Linked DNA regions of Arabidopsis thaliana. The protein of the gene in region 3 interacts with the protein of the main gene of each other region in a biochemical or structural test. Each region holds a gene or a part of one and is shown on either strand. Other genes may lie near its edges. The genes, in order: BAK1, BIK1 and RBOHD.

Region 1 (7,064 bases), on a different chromosome or scaffold from region 3:
TATATATAGGAGCACATACCCTAGGAGTTGCACGATGCTCCTCCTTCAAGGCTAGACTTACCGTCCCAGACTCTTCATTAGACTCGACTTTTGCAAACACTCTCTCTAAAACATGCAGCGCGGGTGACAATGCAGAGCAACCCTTTGATGCTACGCGCAACGATTTCGACAATGCTTACTTCAATGCGCTTCAGATGAAATCAGGAGTCCTCTTTTCAGACCAAACTTTATTCAACACACCAAGGACCAGGAATCTTGTTAACGGCTATGCACTTAACCAAGCCAAGTTCTTCTTTGATTTCCAACAGGCCATGCGCAAGATGAGCAATCTTGATGTTAAACTTGGCTCTCAAGGTGAAGTCCGTCAAAATTGTCGGAGTATTAATTAGGCTAGACCACATCTACTTACGATTTTTGTATTTATAATAAGTTCTCTACTCTTGTTATATGAAGAATCATGAATCTTCTAGGCTACTATGTAAAAATTGTGTACTCTCGTAATATGCAGTTGTATACTTATTGCTTGTGTGGTTCAGATATCCATCAAAAAGTAATATACTTTGGTTGCATTTTCTTGTCCAATTGCTATTTAAAGGCAAAAGTCTCCTTTTCTTCTGAACAATCTCCGGATCTAGAAATCACATGATAACACAGAAACCGGTAAGAAAAGAAACCTGACGCACGGTGAAAAAGAATAATTGATGGGATACATATTTGTGAATCAAGTGCGCAACAATCCTCAAGTGGTGAGCTTAAGACATGTTTGGGTTTTAGCTTTCAACAACATTCAAATCCTTTTTCATCATATAACACTTACAAACCCAATCTGATCCTCATGTATTCACTTAAGAACCAATAATATGGAGCAGCAGAAGCTAAAACCCTCAATAAATACAGAGAAAAACAAAATACAGAAAAAACATTCGTGTTTCGAATCTTATCTTGGACCCGAGGGGTATTCGTTTTCGATCTGGGAAGTGGAATCGCCAATGATCCAGCCAGACACGGCTGGATGGTGGGTTGGGTAGTTGAAATCTTGTCTGAACATTTCCTCCTTTTGCCACTCTTCCCATCTCTCAGCTAAACCATCTCCTTCAAGCATTCTTACAACTTCAGACATTTTGGGTCTTTCCATTGGTGAACTCTGAGTGCAGAGTAAAGCCACTTGGATTAGCTGCTCCACTTCTTCGTCTTTGTAATTACCCTGAAGATCAACATCTACTAGTGCTTCCAATTTCTTCTCTTTTAACAACCCTTTCACCTGTCGAAATGAATAATTAACACAAATAGAGGTAACACAGATAATGAACTATACAAGTGGGAAACTCATATATGTATATACCCAGTCTAGTAACATGACATCATCATCATTCGCGAGGCGAGCAAGATCAAAAGCCCTTTGTCCAGTGATAAGCTCAAGAAGCATGACTCCATACCCAAAGACATCGGTTTTCTCTGATGATTTTCCAGTGGAAAGGTACTCAGGGGCTATATGACCAATTGTCCCACGCACTGCGGTTGTCACATGTGTGTCTTTGTAGTCCATGAGTTTTGCAAGTCCAAAATCCCCAACCACGGCTTCAAACTCTTCATCCAACAAAATATTTGCAGCTTTCACATCTCGATGAATAATCTTTGGGTCGCAATGATCATGTAAATACGCAAGCCCTCTTGCAGATCCCAACGCAATACGCTGTCTCTTTGGCCAATCAAGTGGTGGCTGGGACTCGGGACGTTCTAAGGAGAAAATAAAATATAAGATTACTACGGATAAAAAGGCAACCATTGGACGGAAATATTGCAGTCAAAGAAAAAGGCACAAGATGAGAGATACCTCTTAAACAGGAGGCAACACTTCCATTAGCCATGTAGGGATAAACAAGCAATCTTTCGGTTGGAGTCATGCAAAATCCACGAAGCCGAAGCAAGTTTCTGTGAACCGCCATACTAATCATCTCAACCTCTGTCTGGAACTGCAGTTCGCCACCTTGGGTGCGCTCCTCTTTTAGCCTTTTAACGGCCACTAAAGTACCATCAGCTAACCGTCCTTTATAAACTTTACCAAAACCACCTCTACCCAATATGTTCTTGTTGCTAAAATTATCCGAAGCAACTTGTAGTTCACGCAATGAAAACCTCTTCAGTTGTCCTAAATGAACTTCTGGGTCCTCTTCAGCTGCAAAAAGACGGTAATAAAAAAAAATCAGCAAGAGAAGTGTTAATGAGGAAACAGGTAAAGCAAGTTTAGCTAACCTGGTACATCAAAGAAGTGGTCCTGCGGCTTTTTCCTTCGCCACCAAGCTAGTGCAATGGCCGGAACAGCAAATAGAAGTGCAGCACCTGCAGCAACTCCTCCCGCAATCGCTCCAGTAATTCTATTACTCCCTGCAAGAATGAAATGAACAATCTCTTTCTTAATACTTAATGGATCTGCTTAAAATGTTTACTTATTCAGTTGAATAACATTTCAAAGACAAAGACATATACAAAAAAAAACCTGCAGGTGATGGCGGTGTAGGAGAGATAGGAGGCGGTGGAGATGCAGGAAGGGGAGTCAACTTGGTGTTGGCAAAACTGCAAAATTTCAAATAATTAATCAAACATTCTGACCTCTCCACCAAGATTTAAACTAGGAGCAGGATGCAAAACCTGATTGGAGTGAAAAGTGAAAAGGAACCATTAACAGGAATATCTCCGGTGAGAGGATTGTTTGAGAGATCCCTGCATTATAAGATGATATCATTTTCTGACTTAATGCCAAGATCGGCCAAACAATAATCAGAAACATGAACACAGAGGAATTTGAGAGAGATAAAGTTACACTCACAGAACTTGTAGCGTCAGGACAGCAGTCAAAGACCTTGGAATTTCTCCAGATAAGCTATTGTTATTAAGACGCCTAACCACCAATACAAAAAGAGAATGTCATGAATAAGTGGAAATACATTAACCAGTAATGAGTTTATAGTGAGAGCAAAAATACAAACTTTAAAAGACTTTCAAAAGTAGGGGTTGTTCTAAAATCTCATCCAACAGATATGAAGCTGATTGAAAAATCAAGTATATTTTCCTAATTAGCGCGACTTACTACTTTAGATGCGTTCACCCTCTAGATTTACAGAGCACTCACAAATTAATAAGTAACAATAGGGTTTAGCGCTTAAATTCTAAGGCAGAAGAATATTGTTATCTTTGATAGAATTTCATTCTTCCAGAACCAAATCGATTTCATACAAAATAAGCGAGTCAATAACTACCATTGAAGATCACAAAGGTGACACACGAGAACAACCAAAAAGACAGTCACCTGAATTCGGAACTTTGTGTTGTTCCAGTAAAATTAAGCGAACACAAGGATAGAGTTCTGATTCCTTTTACGAAAGCTCATAATTAAAATAGACCATATTATACAACATCCTAGTCTCCAAGAGAACACCTTTTCATCTAGTAAAATAACGTAGCATCTATTTGGCGACACTACTTTCTGACTCCTACAAATGTAACACGTTGCACGAATAGCTTTTACAGGAAGACAAACACGATCAAGGAAACTAAAGACAATAATTAGGCTGCTTATTAAAAACGTATTAAAAGAAGAGAGTAGAATATGGTGCATACAAGAAACGGAGTTTCTTAAGTCGGCCGAGAGTTGATGGAATAGGCCCGCTTAAATTGTTCAAGTAAAGATCCAAGCTCACCAATTCCGTCAGATTTCCAAGCTGTTCTGGGATTGTCCCAGTAATGTTATTGCTATAAAGCTCCCTGTCATTACCATTCTTTAATATTAATTTCACCATAAGATCGGAAAGATATATAACTAATAATCTATGATAATGCAAAATTATGCAGTTATTTGGAACATTGTAACATTTTTAACATCCCACATACACCAAAAGTTAAAAGACGGCCTTTTAAAGAAAAGATGACTTACAAGTACTGCAAGTTTGGAAGCTGACCAAGTTGCATTACGAGCTGTCCAGATAGATTTGCATTCCCAAGGTCACTGAGCAAAAATGAAGTTCAAGTAAATTCTCAGTAGATGCGAAAATCCGAATCATCTTGGCTAGATATAGAAAGAAACTTACACACGTGTAACACTATTGTCGCTATTGCAAGTAACATGAAACCATGTACATGGAGTAACAAGAGTAGCATCCCAACTTTGAAGCACCTTATTAGGGTCGGCTAAACTGTTTTTCAGTGCACTTAGAGCATCACCTACAATTAACCAAAGAAGAAGAAAAAATCAAACTTTGCAATCATCAAGTGTCACGAGGATACATAATCACTGGAATCAGTCGAAACAGATGTAACCCAAATATAACTCAAGTCAATACAGCAAAACAAGTAACAGATAAGTTAAAAATGCCTTCTTTAGGTGAGAACAAGCTCTCATAAGCCTATACTAATCAAAATACTCAACAAGGGAAACTAATTTAATTGGAAAGAATGAAAAATTGAAAGAGAATGAGAGAGAAAGGGGAAACCTTCGGCGTTGCCCGAGACTCTGAGAACCAAATCCAAAACGAGAATCAACCAAAAGAAGCAAGGGATCATTAATCTTCGTTCCATTTTATCCTCAAGAGATTAAAAACAAACCCTAGAACTATCCCTCATCAGAGAAAATCCATCATTGTTAAAACCCCTGATAAAAGGGATCTCGAATCCTTCGATTAAGCTACCACCCACACAAGGTAATACCAAGATGATGAAATTAGAAGCAGAATACGAGAAAAGCCCTCTCAACGCGTATCCACCCGTTGACTTAATTTGAAGAGAAAATCAAAATACCCAAATCGATTAATCGCGGAAACCAAAAAAGCAAAAAAAAAAGAAACTGAAGCTAGACTTTTCCGATTAGAAGGAACGCCGAGATCGCTGACCGTTGACTACTTAATGCTGAGAAGAGAGAAAACTGAGATAGAGAAAACGAAAGGAGGAAGAAGATATTTCCTGGAAATATACTAAAAAAGGGTCGAAACAAAGAGAGATGAGAGAGAGGAGAGAAACCAAGTTATCGCCGAGAGCAAGGAAGGAAGACGAATTTTAATTATTTTCTTTGCTTAAAGAAGGGATTTTACTGGGTTGAGTTGTTGTACTGTGAAAACTATATTAAAAAAATGACATTTAAGATTGAGAAAACGACAAAGAGGATGATGACGTGGACGAGCATTTTCAAAGCTTTTTTAGAGCTAGTCAAAGTCAAAGACGCACGACTTCATTCCGAATCATGTTTGTTATGTTCGCCCACCTTATCATCATCCATCATATGACATTAGATATAAACCATGATGGTCATGAACTCATGATAGTTGATAGTGAGTTATATACCATCATCATAATCCTAATTACCGGCCCAGCTCTATTTTTTCGGGCTTTTATTGTTTATTGGGCTTGGTCTTAATAGCAAGTTCGTTTATTCCAAAGATGAGCAAAAGCTTTTTTGATTTTTTTATTCTTTTTTAAAGATTATAGCTCTAAAAAATTACAATTCAATATTGAAAAATGTAAGCTGAATAATCCATCTGGTCCAATGAATTAAACAAAACAAAAAACATTATTGTATCATATATAATTTACTGGTTGATAGTTTAACTATTTATGCCATTTAATATTTTTAAAAGAACAAAAGTAATTTTGAGGAAAAATGAAATAAAAAACAAAAAACACAAACGGACAGAGTATATGTTGCCAGCAATAAAATACGGACATATACCTTAGTTTGGCATTAAAAAACAAAACAAAAACACAACAAACAACTCAGTACAGTAGGCTATTTAAAGGCCCATCAGATTAAGACTTGGAAGTCTGACGAGATTGTAACGCCTCACAATCCTTCCTACCCGTGAGTCCGTGACCGATTGTGTATCATCCATCTTCTTTCTTCTTCTTTCTTCTTCTTTCTTCTTCTTTTATATATAAACCAAAATATAATTCGTGAAGACTTTCACTTTCTCCTTGCCACTTTTTGACGATTCACATGCACCATCCAATATTTTAGTGCCCTTTTCACGACATATCTGTGTCTGTATCCAATTTTCTTATTTACTACTACTTTTTTCTATTTATATATACAAAAATAATCAAAGAGAGAGACGAATTTTCGAGGTAAGGTATCTATCGACTTTCTATCTTCCTCCACCTTTGTTTGTTGTCACCACCACACTACGCTAATCATTGCCACACACATGCATAATTCTCTCCAACCATCTAAAAGTCCCACTTTAGCATTCTTCTGTTTGTAATTTTATCTCAGAGCTTGCTTCATGGGCTTTTGAGTTTTCTCTCTGTTTCCAAAAAACAATGGAACCGGAGAAGAATCCGACCACAGTATTGAGTGCCATTACAAGACCTTCGTGGGCGTTTCTTCTCCTTGTTTTCACCGTCTTAGCGATTCTCTCTCTCCAAATCTCTTCCAATTCTTTTCTCCCTCTCTGGATCCCGACTTCTCAATATGACGACCCTGTTACCTGCTCCGGGTTTTTCAATCACGACCCGTTCCCTAACCGGATCGTTATGTCGATTACCGATTTCGGCGGTGTTGGAGACGGAAAGACGTCGAACACGGCCGCTTTCCGCCGCGCCGTAAGGCACCTTGAAGGTTTTGCGGCGGAGGGTGGGGCCCAGCTCAATGTCCCGGAGGGCACGTGGCTTTCTGGAAGCTTCAACCTCACCAGCAATTTCACGCTCTTTCTCGAACGCGGCGCTCTCATTTTGGGATCCAAGGTTATATCAAAGTTTTGAATTCTTTAACACATTGATAAAGTTTACTTTTTTTTTGCTTTGTTTGTTGTTGATTGGTTCTGAACAGTAGTAGTATTAAGAGAATTCAATTAGTTGTTGATTGCTCTGTGAGAATCCAAAATTTGGGTTTGTGATTGCTTTTTGATTTGTGGGTTCATAAAGTTTTGTTGGTAAACACTATATTCATTTCGCTAATCACGGTCAGTGGTTAAAATGGACCCACCATTGTTTGATACAGCAAAAAAGCTGTTATTTTTGAGTGGGGATAGTCTCTAGTAGTGCGAAATCTGGATTTGCATATCAAAAGTCAGTGTTTTGCA
Region 2 (4,673 bases), on a different chromosome or scaffold from region 3:
AGATCTTTACTTGACCGAGGTTGATAGCAAGCTCTTGAAGCTCAGGCTCTGACATTCCGATGAGAACATGTGAGTCCACGTGTGGAGTACGCGCCGGTTTGGCTGATACCGGTTTAGGAGACGGTACGACGGTTGTGGCGGCAGCGGAGAAGGTGGTAGCGAGGGAGTGACGCCGAACTACCATACGAGAGATTGGAACAGAGAAGACGAGGTTTTGAAGCATAGCCATAGTATTGGTTGTTGTCGTCATCATAGCTTCGATCACTGAGAAGTCTGAAGAAGACAGAGTAAACCCTTTTCTTCTGCGGCTAAAACCTCTCTGCAACTACTACGAGTCGAGTAGTTTTGCTCACTAAGTGGATAAGTTACACAAAACGCCACACAGTTCGAATGCAGAACCAAAGACCGACACGCATTTCACAAAACCGTAATTGAGAAATTGGACCAAACTAGACAAAAATCGTGAAACGGTTGCGTTTTGCTTCCCCTTTTTGTGGTTTGGAGTTTGAACGACATTTCAAATTTATAAGATTTGTGTTAACTGCAGGTCTGCAGCCAACAAAGCACAATTCGGATTTGTGTTATTCATTGCACATTGATTAGAATTTTCATATTTTGACTTGCAATAAATTTGGGTTTCAAAACTGAAGATATAGGAAAAATCTCTACATCAAATGTTAAAGGAACAAAAATACAAGTGTTACAACACAAGAGGCAAAAATTACCTCATATATACTCAATATAACAGCACACAAGGAAGCCTAAGCTAAAGGCTACACATGTTCTCTAAGGTTGGGTATGGGACATGTAACCGGAAAATTTAATGTATCCTTTATTAGTCTTGACCTGCACGGTTTGTCCAGAACCGCATTCAATCCGTCGAAAACGGATATCGGCAGTTTCAAGTAAACCGCCGGAAAAATGTCCATCCTGGAATTCAGTTATCAACTTGACCTACACAAGGTGCCTGCCAAAAGGTTTTTGTGTAAACCGTTTTTCGGATGACTTAGTAGTACCAGTTTTAAAACCAAGTTTCTTGGTATCCTTAACCGGATTGGTCTGACTCGGTTTTCCCAAGTTGTCCTGAAGTTGTTGTAAGGCACGGACCACTTGGTCCATGGTCGGGCGCGACTTGGGTTCAAATGAGAGACACTGCACCGCCACGCTTGCCATTCTCACGGCTTCTTCAGGTAGGTACTGTGTGTCTAGCCGATTGTCCACGATTAGGAGAACCTTACGTTTGCTTGTGAGGTACGGTCGAGCCCAATCCACAAGGTTTTCTTCTTTAGCCGGTCTGTTATGATCCAACGCTCGCTTACCAGATAAAATCTCTAGAAGCAAAACTCCGAAACTGTACACATCGCTTCTTGCATTCAAGTGACCTGAAATGATACGAGGATTTAAAAACAATTATCCTTATGCTCTAAAACATTTGATCAACCTAGTCATAATTCATATTTAAGGTGATAGATTTTTACCTGATGACATGTACTCAGGCGCGGCGTACCCATAAGTACCCATGACCCTTGTACTAACATAACTCAAATCACCCATTGGACCGTCTCTAGCTAGTCCAAAGTCAGAAAGTTTTGCGTTGTAGTCCTGTTTAAGGGAATCAAAGTCATCAGGAAAGTACTATGAAGACATCTAATTCTTTGAATGTGTATATTTCTCTACATACCGCATCAAGTAAGATGTTCGAGGCTTTAATGTCTCGGTATATCACTTTGACGGGATCGCTGTGAAGAAAAGCAAGCCCCTTTGCTGCATCAAGCGCAACATTGACCCGTAGAAACCATGGGAGTGGCTTAAAATATGCACCTCCTATATTAAAACCATTTTCCATCAGAACCAAAAACAAAAGAAAACAGATTTAATCAAAGATAAAGATGATCCATGGGACTCACTTCTGAATAGATGATTCTCAAGACTTCCTTTTTGCATAAACTCGTAGACTAGAAGACGGTGTTCATCTTCTAAGCAATAACCGATCAGTTTAACTAGATTTGGGTGACTCAGTTGCCCCAAGTAATTGATCTCTGTCTGAATAGCACAACACAACACAACAGATCAGACACGCATTCACACATATATAACACATGACTCTTAAGTTTGGGGAAATGAAAACACAGTACCAGCCATTCACGGTGACCTTGAAAACCTTCTTGGTTAAGCTTTTTAACGGCGATGACCAAACCGGTTCCAGGTTTAGTCGGAGTGAGAGTGGACTCATCTAACCAGCCTTTAAAGACACAACCAAAGCCACCTTCTCCGATCACACTATCTGGTCTGAAGTTTCTTGTGGCGAGTTTGAGTTCGTTAAAGGTGAAGCTTTTGACAGGGGTCGAACTCAATATCTCCCCTTCCGTCTTCTGAGCCGCCGCTACAGTCGAAGACGATTTCCGACTTGAGAGACTTAGACCATAAAGATCGCTGCTCTTACCTACACAGACACACATGTTGACCATTTACAATAATCAAAATCGGAAATCTCCATGAATTAAAAACAGAGAGATGCATAATTCCAGATTGCAAGAAAATTGATAGTTGGAGAGAGATGGTACCATTGTGGAAGATGTCTGCTTTGACTCGAGAACTGAAGCAAGAACCCATCAAAGCTAAGAACAGATTCGTTTTCTTCTTTTTTGGTTCTTGATCGTTATTCTTCAGCTGCTTGAGCTGAAAATGGATTATGTAAACAGAAGAGAAAGAGAAAATATAGAAACTTTCAACCCACAAGGCAAAAAAAGAAGAAGATAAAGATGAGAGAGAGATGTGAACGGAGATCGGAGAGGAAGGAAGAAAGAGAAGGGAGTTTTGGGTTTGGTGTTAAAGAGAGGCACGAGGGGTGACTAGAAGAAGGAGAAGAATGGTCCTTTTTTCTTTGTGGATGTGTGTGTGAAAGAAAGTCAAACAAATGGACACAAAAAAGTATAGTTCGGCGAAAAGATAAAGGTCGTTGGATTCTATATGATCAAAATGATATGACCCATTTTTAAGATCTTTTGGCAATATATCCTAAAGTTTTTTTTTCTTCTGAAATTTAGACAGAGAGAAAATTTTAGTCAAATTACTTGTTTGGGTACTGTATGTGTCTGAAAGATTACCATTAACGGGACGACAAACAAACAGCGAAACATGACGTTTGTTTTGTTTTGCTTTGTCGTAACAAAATATTTCAATTGGTCTATCCACGTTAATTGGTGTGTGTAAGCAGAAAAATATATATTCGATGTTTGTACCATGAATTTTTACTTAATCAGTACAATAAATGTCGAAAACCTAATCACTAGAGTACTAGACACCAATGAAAATTGAGATGTCACATTTACGTTCAACTGTATCTTGTCGTAGGGAACTCGTTATTCTAGATATATAAAAATTTTACTTACAGAAAAATGACTTAAATAATTATACATATGAATACAAATGATTTCAAGAAGTCATAATCAAGAATTCACTAAATGGAATATAGGTTTGACTTGGGTGGTAGGTTTGTGATTATGAGTCTTGTATTGTTTTACACGTCGCTGTCTTTGTTTGGTATTACTTGGACTTTTTTTTTTTATAGATGAAAATCCAATTTTTCTCAAGAAGATTTTCGACACGGCCGGTTGGACAATATTGACGTACGAAGGTACTACTTGGACTTGCCGTGTCTTCCACACAGCTAAAAATTAAAATTCACCTTTTCTTCCGGTTATAATGGTTCTAAAAGTCACCTGAATTTTCTTCCGGTTATAATGGCTCTAAAAGCCACCTTCATTCCATACACTATTTTCAGAAAGTATTCAGCCTTTTTTGTTTGAGATGTCAATTCAGATTAGAAACCTAAATCGATATTTGTTTGTTTAACGGTTACAAAAATAAATTTGACAACTTGATTGTTGCAACAATTGAAAAATAGATTTCTAATAAAATTTTAGTATTCATACATGATTTTTTTTGTATCCATATACAGACATACAGTAGTACTAGTATGTGTCTGTAATCTGTATTCATAAATGCATATATCTTCCAAGTATCTAAAAACTCAAAACGTATCAATGTCTATAGTAGTCTAGACTCCAGTTGAATCGGATGTTACAGATAACTTTTCCACAATTTATGGAAAAGTAATAATTTGTAAAGTAAATTATGAGCACAGGTTTAAATAATTTCGGCCGTATGGCCCAAAATTGGATTGTGTGAGACATGTCGGTTATTTGGCATTTTGGGTTGGATAGTGGTAAGTAATATGCCCATAGGCCCAAAAAGCCCACTAGCAATGAATTAAAGCCTATTACACTTTGTTTTCCATAATTCTCCTCATTGTTTATTTGTTTTAGTAGTATTTCTCAAACAATTTAATGAGTTGTTTTTCATCTTAAGAAAAAAACAATTTGCAAAGCAATACACATACTGAAAAGAAAATCAAAGCAAGTAATAACCATATCGAAAAAACATTAGAAGAAATTTTAAAAAGATAAATCCCAATCAAAATGAATGTAGAGACCAAAACAGTGGACTTGGGATACAAAAACAATATCATTGACAATGCGATAAAAATATATTGAAAGACCAGTAATAAACCATAATGTCTTTAGGTAATCTATTAATCAATCAACAAGGTGTTATAGTTTATGCCCACTTGAAAACACAATGTGTTGATTTTCGAATCAATACGTAACTTT
Region 3 (7,325 bases):
ATTTGACGCTCAAGCGACCTATTCTGTAATCAACCATAAACTTTGTCAGTTTTCTTAGATTGTAGTAGGTTGGATTTGTTTTTGAACTTTTAGTTTACCTAAGGAACAAAATTAATCATTCGTAACCATTTTAAGGAAACAAACTTAACCATTCATAACGATTGTTTCTGATTATTATCGATAGCAATTGTATTTAATTATTTTGATACTTATATCAAGTTTTGATTATATTCTAGCTGCATAATTTTAAAGTCTTTTAAACTATCCCAAGTGCAAGGCAAATTAAAGTAGTGAATAGGGTATCAACCCATAAATAAAGACGTAAACGCAAGAAGACTTATGAAAAGCTAAACTAATCTAGCTAGAGTTGTGATATAAGATGCTTTTGAGTTAAGAAATTATTTGTCATTTTAACTAAAAGAACACTATTAATAACATATAAACAAGTTAAACACGCAAATGCATTGGTGAGCAAATAATCAAGACGTATCTAATGTTGATATCTCTATTCATTATGTTAAATGAGTAATGGGTATTGAATATCAAAACTATCTTTAGTTGTTAATATTCGAATATAAGTACAAAATAATAGTACAGATAACTCCATGATTACATGTTTACAACACCAAAGCTGTAACTATATAAACTTCTACTATCTTATACTTAATTTGGCATTAAACTAAGTAGTGAAAAAGTAACCAACAAAACGGTAGGGATATAGAAGAACAAAAAAAGATAACTCAGATAATTTTACATAAAAATGAAAAGAATTTAAAATAAATATTTATTTGTATAGTTGTTTCTTGTTTTATTTTTCTACAACGTATATAATTAATCTAGAAGTTCTCTTTGTGGAAGTCAAACTTGGTAGTTGTCTTTCGAGAAAAATCCAAAGCTAGATTTTTTAATTCCTTTATCATTCCTGGCATTCCACAGTAGAAGACTCCTGCAATCAAAATTCATATTAGTATTTAGTCTAAATTCATCACTTTATTAATTATTATACAACATCACGTACATAACGAGATTAACGGTCGAGATTAGTTACCTATTCTTTTGCCGGGATGTTGAACAGCGATCTTCTTGTAGACTTGTCTCCAGTTAGGTTTAGCGAAGTGGGACTTGACACGTGTACCCGACACAACATCCACACCGTTCTTAGCGTGTTGCAACGACTGAAGCATGGCAATGAGAGCCACTCTTGCATCACCTTCCTCGTACACACTCGTGCAATAATTGTGAAGCTCGATGATTCCTTCCTCGTCTAACTCCGAAATCTCGTCCATTATTCCCTTGAACCACTCGAATGATCCTTGTTCCCTAGTCACCCAGTAGAAATAAGCTTTCCTTGTCTTAAACCCTTTACTATTGTTGTTACTGTTATTGTTCTCAATGTCGCTGTCGCGGTCAGGACCTTTCATGTTGTTGATGATGTCCTTAAGGATACTGATCATAGGCGTGGCTCCAATGCCGAGACCTACGAGGAGTACCACGTCGTATTTCTTGTAGTCTTGTGCGGGAGCACCGTATGGACCGTCGATAAGGACCTTCGGGAACGGGAGGTTTCCATCTCCTCCGTCTGCTCGGAGAAGACCGCTTTTACCGGCGGTAGGAGGTTTGCAAACCTCGGAGAAAACGGTCCTGAGCTTACGTGTCCAGTCACCGAGAGTGCGGATATGTACGCTCAGGTAATCGTCTCCGGGAGCTGATGTGATTGAGAAAGGATGCCATTCGAATGGAGATACGGCTCGGCAGTTCACCAACATGAACTGTCCACTTTTGTATTTGAATCCTTGTGGCTTCGTCATGTGTAGAGACAACACGTTCCCGGGGTAAACAGCCACCTGTTGTTACATATATATAGATTAAGTTCAAAGGCAATTTTCAAACTTTTATCAAAAAGAACTATAAAATAAGATGGTTTAAAAGTATTAGTTGAAATATTTCTTGAAACATAAGGTTTTCAAGAGATAAATAGAAATATATCTGACCTTGATCATCTTAACCGGTTTGATGCTTGATCTGAAAGCACGGAGCAGCCTCTCCGATGCATATAGAAGGATGGGTACAGCAAGATACATCCATGTCTACAAGAATCATACAAACAGGTAATAAATGTTATTAACCGGAAAAAGGAAAGAAAATAAGAAATTAAAACAGATAAAATGAGGTTTGAAGAGAGTACCGTTTTCTGATACCAAATCTTTGTGAGGTAGAGCTTGATACCATGGACAATGAGAAGAGCATAAACAATGATGAACAAATGGTGGGTGTACCAAAAGGCGTTGAAACCGGTAAGCTTCTTGAGGAAGTTAGGTAAGTTAAGCTTGTTACGTCGGAACCAAGGCGTCGCGAGTGTAAAGGCTATAGCCATTAGCACAACCATCACAATGCCAGTCCATCCTTCCACTCCTTTCACAAACCACCAGTAGCTAGTCGGTTGATCCCCAAAGTATTTTTCCATCGGCTCATAGGTGTCCTCATCCGCGGCAATTAAACGTGGAAAATCACACGTTAAATGGGCACCCGCATGGAGTAAAACACCGACGACTATCCCGCTTGCAATAACCTTGTGGAAGTTAAGACTATCATCAAAAGGAACGACAGTACCAAGCTTAGTCTTGTTCCTAAGCCAAGTGATGGTGTTTCGACAAACAGGCAACAATATGAGAGCCATGTTGAATTTGAGAGTCTCGGCGCCTCCTTTGGCGACACAAACGCAATAACCCATGACACCATAGGCAGCTTTGTTCTTGTACTGAATGAATTTATAAGTAAAGAGGCCACCACAGATGCCAAGCCATAACATCATTATCCATAGTCTCTGCCAATTGTCAAGTATGAAATATTTGATTTTCTCCGACCATCTCACTAAAGGGTTGCTCTCTTTTGCCGGTCTAAGCTTCTGACTTAACATCTGACTAAGTATCCTGCTGTCTCCCATCCGCACCGACTGGTTTGGTGCTTGTAATAGCAACATTTCCAAGTTTTCGATCTGTTTCACCAATGTCCATATCATATAATTAACTAAAACGTTACAATAAAACATTAATGTTCCAAACTGTTTTTCTTAAAAACACTTTTCATAGGTTTCTCCAATAATTAAAAAACAATATACTATCGGAAGCCGCCTAAGACTTTCTAAGCTTGGATTATAGTGTTAGTTCATATATTTTACAATTTTATTGGTCATTTCTTCATATCGTAACCACTAACCACCCATTGTCGAGATTTTGTTGATTGGTTTGGTAAAAAGTTCAAGATGGCCCAATAAGTTGGAAATTAAAAAACATCATGGTGACCCAATTTTGACCACTAAAGACTTCTAGAACGTTATGTTTTTCCACGTTTTTTCTAGTATTTTAAGAGTGGTTAAATTTACGACGTACATAATACCATTAGTGTGATTGAGTGGGTGAAAGTGGACCACACGTACCATAATAAACCCAGCATTGTCTGGGTCCAACTCTTCCATTATCAGTGCCGCATATTCTTTGGCTTGCTTTTGAATATTTGAGAGCTTGTTTGCAGAAGCACTAAGACTAATAATCTGCAATAAATTACCAACAAATTAGAAAACAAAAGCTAAAGTATTTGAAACATTAATAACCTAAGCTAAAGTAACAAAGACTACTACTCTATCTATCTATTACCATTTTGTCGTGTTCACATGAAGTTAATATATTGATGATGTTAATAGTAAACGTCAGCAGATAAAGTCAGTGGGGATTTGCGCGTGGACAAAATTGTCAAAATAATCAACCAAGAATAACGTATAAAATAAGAGAAAAAAAATTCAACCAGGAATATGAATAAATATAAGATAAAAAAAATGTATAAATATAATAAAATATTTGAAAAAGATAATTATTGAGTGGTGTGTGTGTTTTCTCACCTCAGCCACCTCTTCTTCTGTTACTCGCCCATCTTCATCTTTGTCCACCCTGACCAAACAGTGATGTCATATATTAGTTACAAATCCACCAAAACTCCACAAATGATTAATATTACTACTTTTGGTCCTTAAATTCTGATGACCGTTTAATTTTCATTAAGAGTCAATATTAAACGACAAATAGTGATTACGCGTTATATATTTATTGTGGGTTAGGTGAAGATATGTAAAAAAAAGCTTACATGTCAAAAAAGACTTGGAGTTTGGCATCAAAGCTTTCGTCTGAGATCTGTTCCCAGAATATCCTAAGCTGTTCCTTTGTGATTGCATCGCCGGAGACGTTATTCCGGCGAGCTAATGCTCTAAAGAGCTGGTCAGCGAAGTCTTTAGATTCCTTATTCATTCCTAGAGTAAAAAACAAAACAAAAATGAGACTAACACAAAAATGGAAACATATAGTACTAATAGAATTGCTTAGTAAGAAGTGATTTACTTACCTAAGCATTCCCAAAACTTGGCAGAGAGTAAGAGGCCGTTGGAATCAGCGGAGAGTTTATCGAAACGTTGGTCGACGGCCGGCCATGCGGCCGTCTTGGTGGCAATGAACTTGAGACCTTTGAGTGCGTGGATGGCCGCGGAGCTCGTGCGGTCAAACCGCCGCACGGCCGGGGAGGGACGTCTAGAGAACACGCGGCGGAGCTCGCGGGAGGCGTTCTTGATGCGTGAGGAGGTGCTTCGGAAGAAAGATAAGGAGGTGGTGTTGTTGAGGCTGCTCTCGAGAGTCTTCTTCGTAAGAAGGGCTAGCTCCGGGTCCTCCAGGTGGCCTCCACCTCCAGCTGCTTGTTGGACACTATGGACGGCCACCGAGTCGTCCCTGATGTCTAGCGTGATCTCCACGTACTCATCGTCATCACCACGGCCGCCAGCAACACTATTGCTTCTCTTGGGAAGATCGTCGGCGAATCTTGCGTTTTTCTTGGACGCACGTTTAGGCCGGCCAAGCGGACCGCTAAAGGCACCACGGTCGCTAGCGATGCTCTCCGTGTCCGAGTTGGTGTCCGAGTTAGCTCCTCGTAGAATCCCAAGTTCATGGTCGTTACTTGAATTGCCTCGTCTCATTTTCATCGAATTCGAGAAACCAAAAAGATCTCACTAGATTTGGCCAAGAAAACCACAGAGATCTATACAAATAAACACCCGTAAGGTTACTGTATTAGTTGATAGAGAAAAAATAACCGCTCTCAAAAGGTGTTTGATTTTTGTGTATGGAAGAAATTGATTTTGTTTAAAATATATTTATAGAGTGAAGGAGGAATAGATGAAATAAATGGCATGCAAATTGCCATTCTTCTGTGCTAAATCAGGGAAGGTAGTGGGAAACTATGGATGGACCGCTCCGGTCTGGTCAAAATCCTTTACTGACCATTTATTTTGACTTTTTTTTAATTTCCTTTTTTTTTTGTTCTTCTTCTATTCTTCATTTCTTCCTTACCTTTTTTATTTATACCGTGTCATACATTTCAAACACCGAAGTCATTTATACACCAACCCCGTGTGTGAATTAACAAAGAAAAACAACCCCGAGTTATGTCAAACACCGAGTCATTTATAAACTTTTGTTTGAAGAACTTAAATTGTTATTTTTCAATGTATTTGGCAATCATGCATATAGTATCTAACTTTTCCATAAGTCAATCTATAATTCATTTTGGATCGTATATTGATGATACTATATAAATATGTTGCTTCTAACATTTGGCTTGTAAACTGTATTCAAATGTATATCTAACCTACTGTACCGAACAAAAAATTATTATGGATTCTTGTACAAACTCCATGTGAGATGTATTGTTCATTTTCTGTTTTTTCTTTTTTCTTTTTTGATAAAAACACATTTCTGTTTTATGTAAATATGAAAGTCAATTAGCTAGATCATCAAACTATAACTATCCAGTCTATCATCGATGACTTATTTTTCGTTTGAATGTGGTAGTCTTAAAGGAACATCGTTCATGTTCCATAATGGATAAGAACAGATAAGCGATCCGATCGCTAAAAAGAGTGGACATGCTTAAGTTTATTTGTCTCTTGGGCACTGACCTTCTACTTTGGTTTCTTGTTTGGAGTATACTTTAGACAAATAACACAGTAATTAAAATGACTTTTGAAATGACAAAATGAGATTTAATTAATAAAATGAAAATTTTATGTTATTTGAGGTAATTCCTCTACATAAAGACAATTTGAATCTATTAGCATTATACAAACTAGCGGAGATATCTAAAGTTTATATTGTCTGCATCAATACGACTTACTTTAATTAGTATTGAAGTATTTAACTTAGTCATTCATAAACTCTATTTTATATATACTAAACACAGATTCTCGTAATAAAAATAAACCTAAGTGTATGCATAAAAACGGAATTAGGGTATAGATGCTCACTTTTGAGCTTTTATAGTTTTTGATAACAAAATTATAAAGCGTAATACATAAACTAAAATTCAAAGATCATAATTAAAAATTATGTGTTATTTTAGTAAACACTAGTCGGATAGTGTTATATTTAATTGATATAACAAGATTTTTGTATTGCTAGAGGTAATATTTCTATATATATAAACAATTTTGTAATATATTAGCATCACAAGAACTAGAGGGGATATCTAAAGTGTATTTTTGACATCAAGAAGATTTTTTTTCTAATATTGAAGTATTTTTATTTAGCTATTTTTAAGAGTAGCATGAAATAGAGGGCAAATGAGTAGTATAAAAACATAGAGTTATGCAGGCATCATGAACAGATGTTTTGTCTGTTAACCAAAACTTCGACGCCGCCCACGAGAAAAGTCAGTTTAAGGGTCTTAAATAATTTACCAAATGGAAAAGAGAAATAGATACATAGATGGAGACAAAACATATGATATAATTGAGCACATAGTACAAATCGATGGTTTGTTTTCTTTGTCCCTATTTAAATAGAACCCGATGAGAAAGTAAGGTGGCTAAAGAAGATATATAGTTATTATCAAAATAAGAAAAGAAGAAAAGTTAGATAGTCTAATAATCGCTGTTAATTAATTAGAAGACGAACCTTTGACTTATCTCCACTGCTATCAAAATTGTGGTAGTTCACAAATAAAATGACCCTAACCATACACTATTCACACGTTACGGCTACATATACGTTGTACTATACAACAAAACTGCAAACGATGTTTATCATCACCATACGGAAGATCATGACGCTTATTGGTGATCATTCTTTATCTTTTTTGAATGTTAAATTTCTTTAACGAAAAAAATGATCACTGTTAATAACGGCGTAACAAGGTTTATTTTTCGTAGTTAAAAATAAAATAGTATTGCTAAAGATGATTATAATGGATATGAGATGAAGGTATGATAAGACTAAGAGAGCAATTTAACA

The links.
Region 1: the proteins of RBOHD (region 3) and BAK1 form a complex in vitro, tested with the Arabidopsis thaliana proteins (one study listed by BioGRID).
Region 2: the proteins of RBOHD (region 3) and BIK1 form a complex in vitro, tested with the Arabidopsis thaliana proteins (one study listed by BioGRID).

The regions. Positions count from the first base shown.
Region 1 is NC_003075.7:16,085,717-16,092,780, forward strand, and holds BAK1 (BRI1-associated receptor kinase), read right to left. Parts: upstream 5,062-7,064; 5' UTR 4,573-5,061; coding exon 4,488-4,572; intron 4,219-4,487; coding exon 4,086-4,218; intron 4,004-4,085; coding exon 3,932-4,003; intron 3,763-3,931; coding exon 3,619-3,762; intron 3,492-3,618; coding exon 3,351-3,491; intron 2,900-3,350; coding exon 2,828-2,899; intron 2,722-2,827; coding exon 2,650-2,721; intron 2,575-2,649; coding exon 2,498-2,574; intron 2,386-2,497; coding exon 2,254-2,385; intron 2,177-2,253; coding exon 1,835-2,176; intron 1,738-1,834; coding exon 1,343-1,737; intron 1,262-1,342; coding exon 938-1,261; 3' UTR 595-937; downstream 1-594. Other genes in the region: AT4G33420 (Peroxidase superfamily protein), read left to right, coding at 10-389; AT4G33440 (Pectin lyase-like superfamily protein), read left to right, coding at 6,304-6,726.
Region 2 is NC_003071.7:16,529,883-16,534,555, reverse strand, and holds BIK1 (botrytis-induced kinase1), read right to left. Parts: upstream 3,030-4,673; 5' UTR 2,614-3,029; coding exon 2,565-2,613; intron 2,444-2,564; coding exon 2,136-2,443; intron 2,044-2,135; coding exon 1,908-2,043; intron 1,825-1,907; coding exon 1,682-1,824; intron 1,603-1,681; coding exon 1,479-1,602; intron 1,383-1,478; coding exon 955-1,382; 3' UTR 570-954; downstream 1-569. Other genes in the region: AT2G39670 (Radical SAM superfamily protein), read right to left, coding at 16-253.
Region 3 is NC_003076.8:19,395,280-19,402,604, reverse strand, and holds RBOHD (respiratory burst oxidase homologue D), read right to left. Parts: upstream 5,565-7,325; 5' UTR 5,021-5,564; coding exon 4,393-5,020; intron 4,301-4,392; coding exon 4,138-4,300; intron 3,945-4,137; coding exon 3,896-3,944; intron 3,551-3,895; coding exon 3,437-3,550; intron 2,996-3,436; coding exon 2,186-2,995; intron 2,088-2,185; coding exon 1,992-2,087; intron 1,845-1,991; coding exon 1,049-1,844; intron 947-1,048; coding exon 837-946; 3' UTR 544-836; downstream 1-543. UniProt on the Arabidopsis thaliana protein: Calcium-dependent NADPH oxidase that generates superoxide.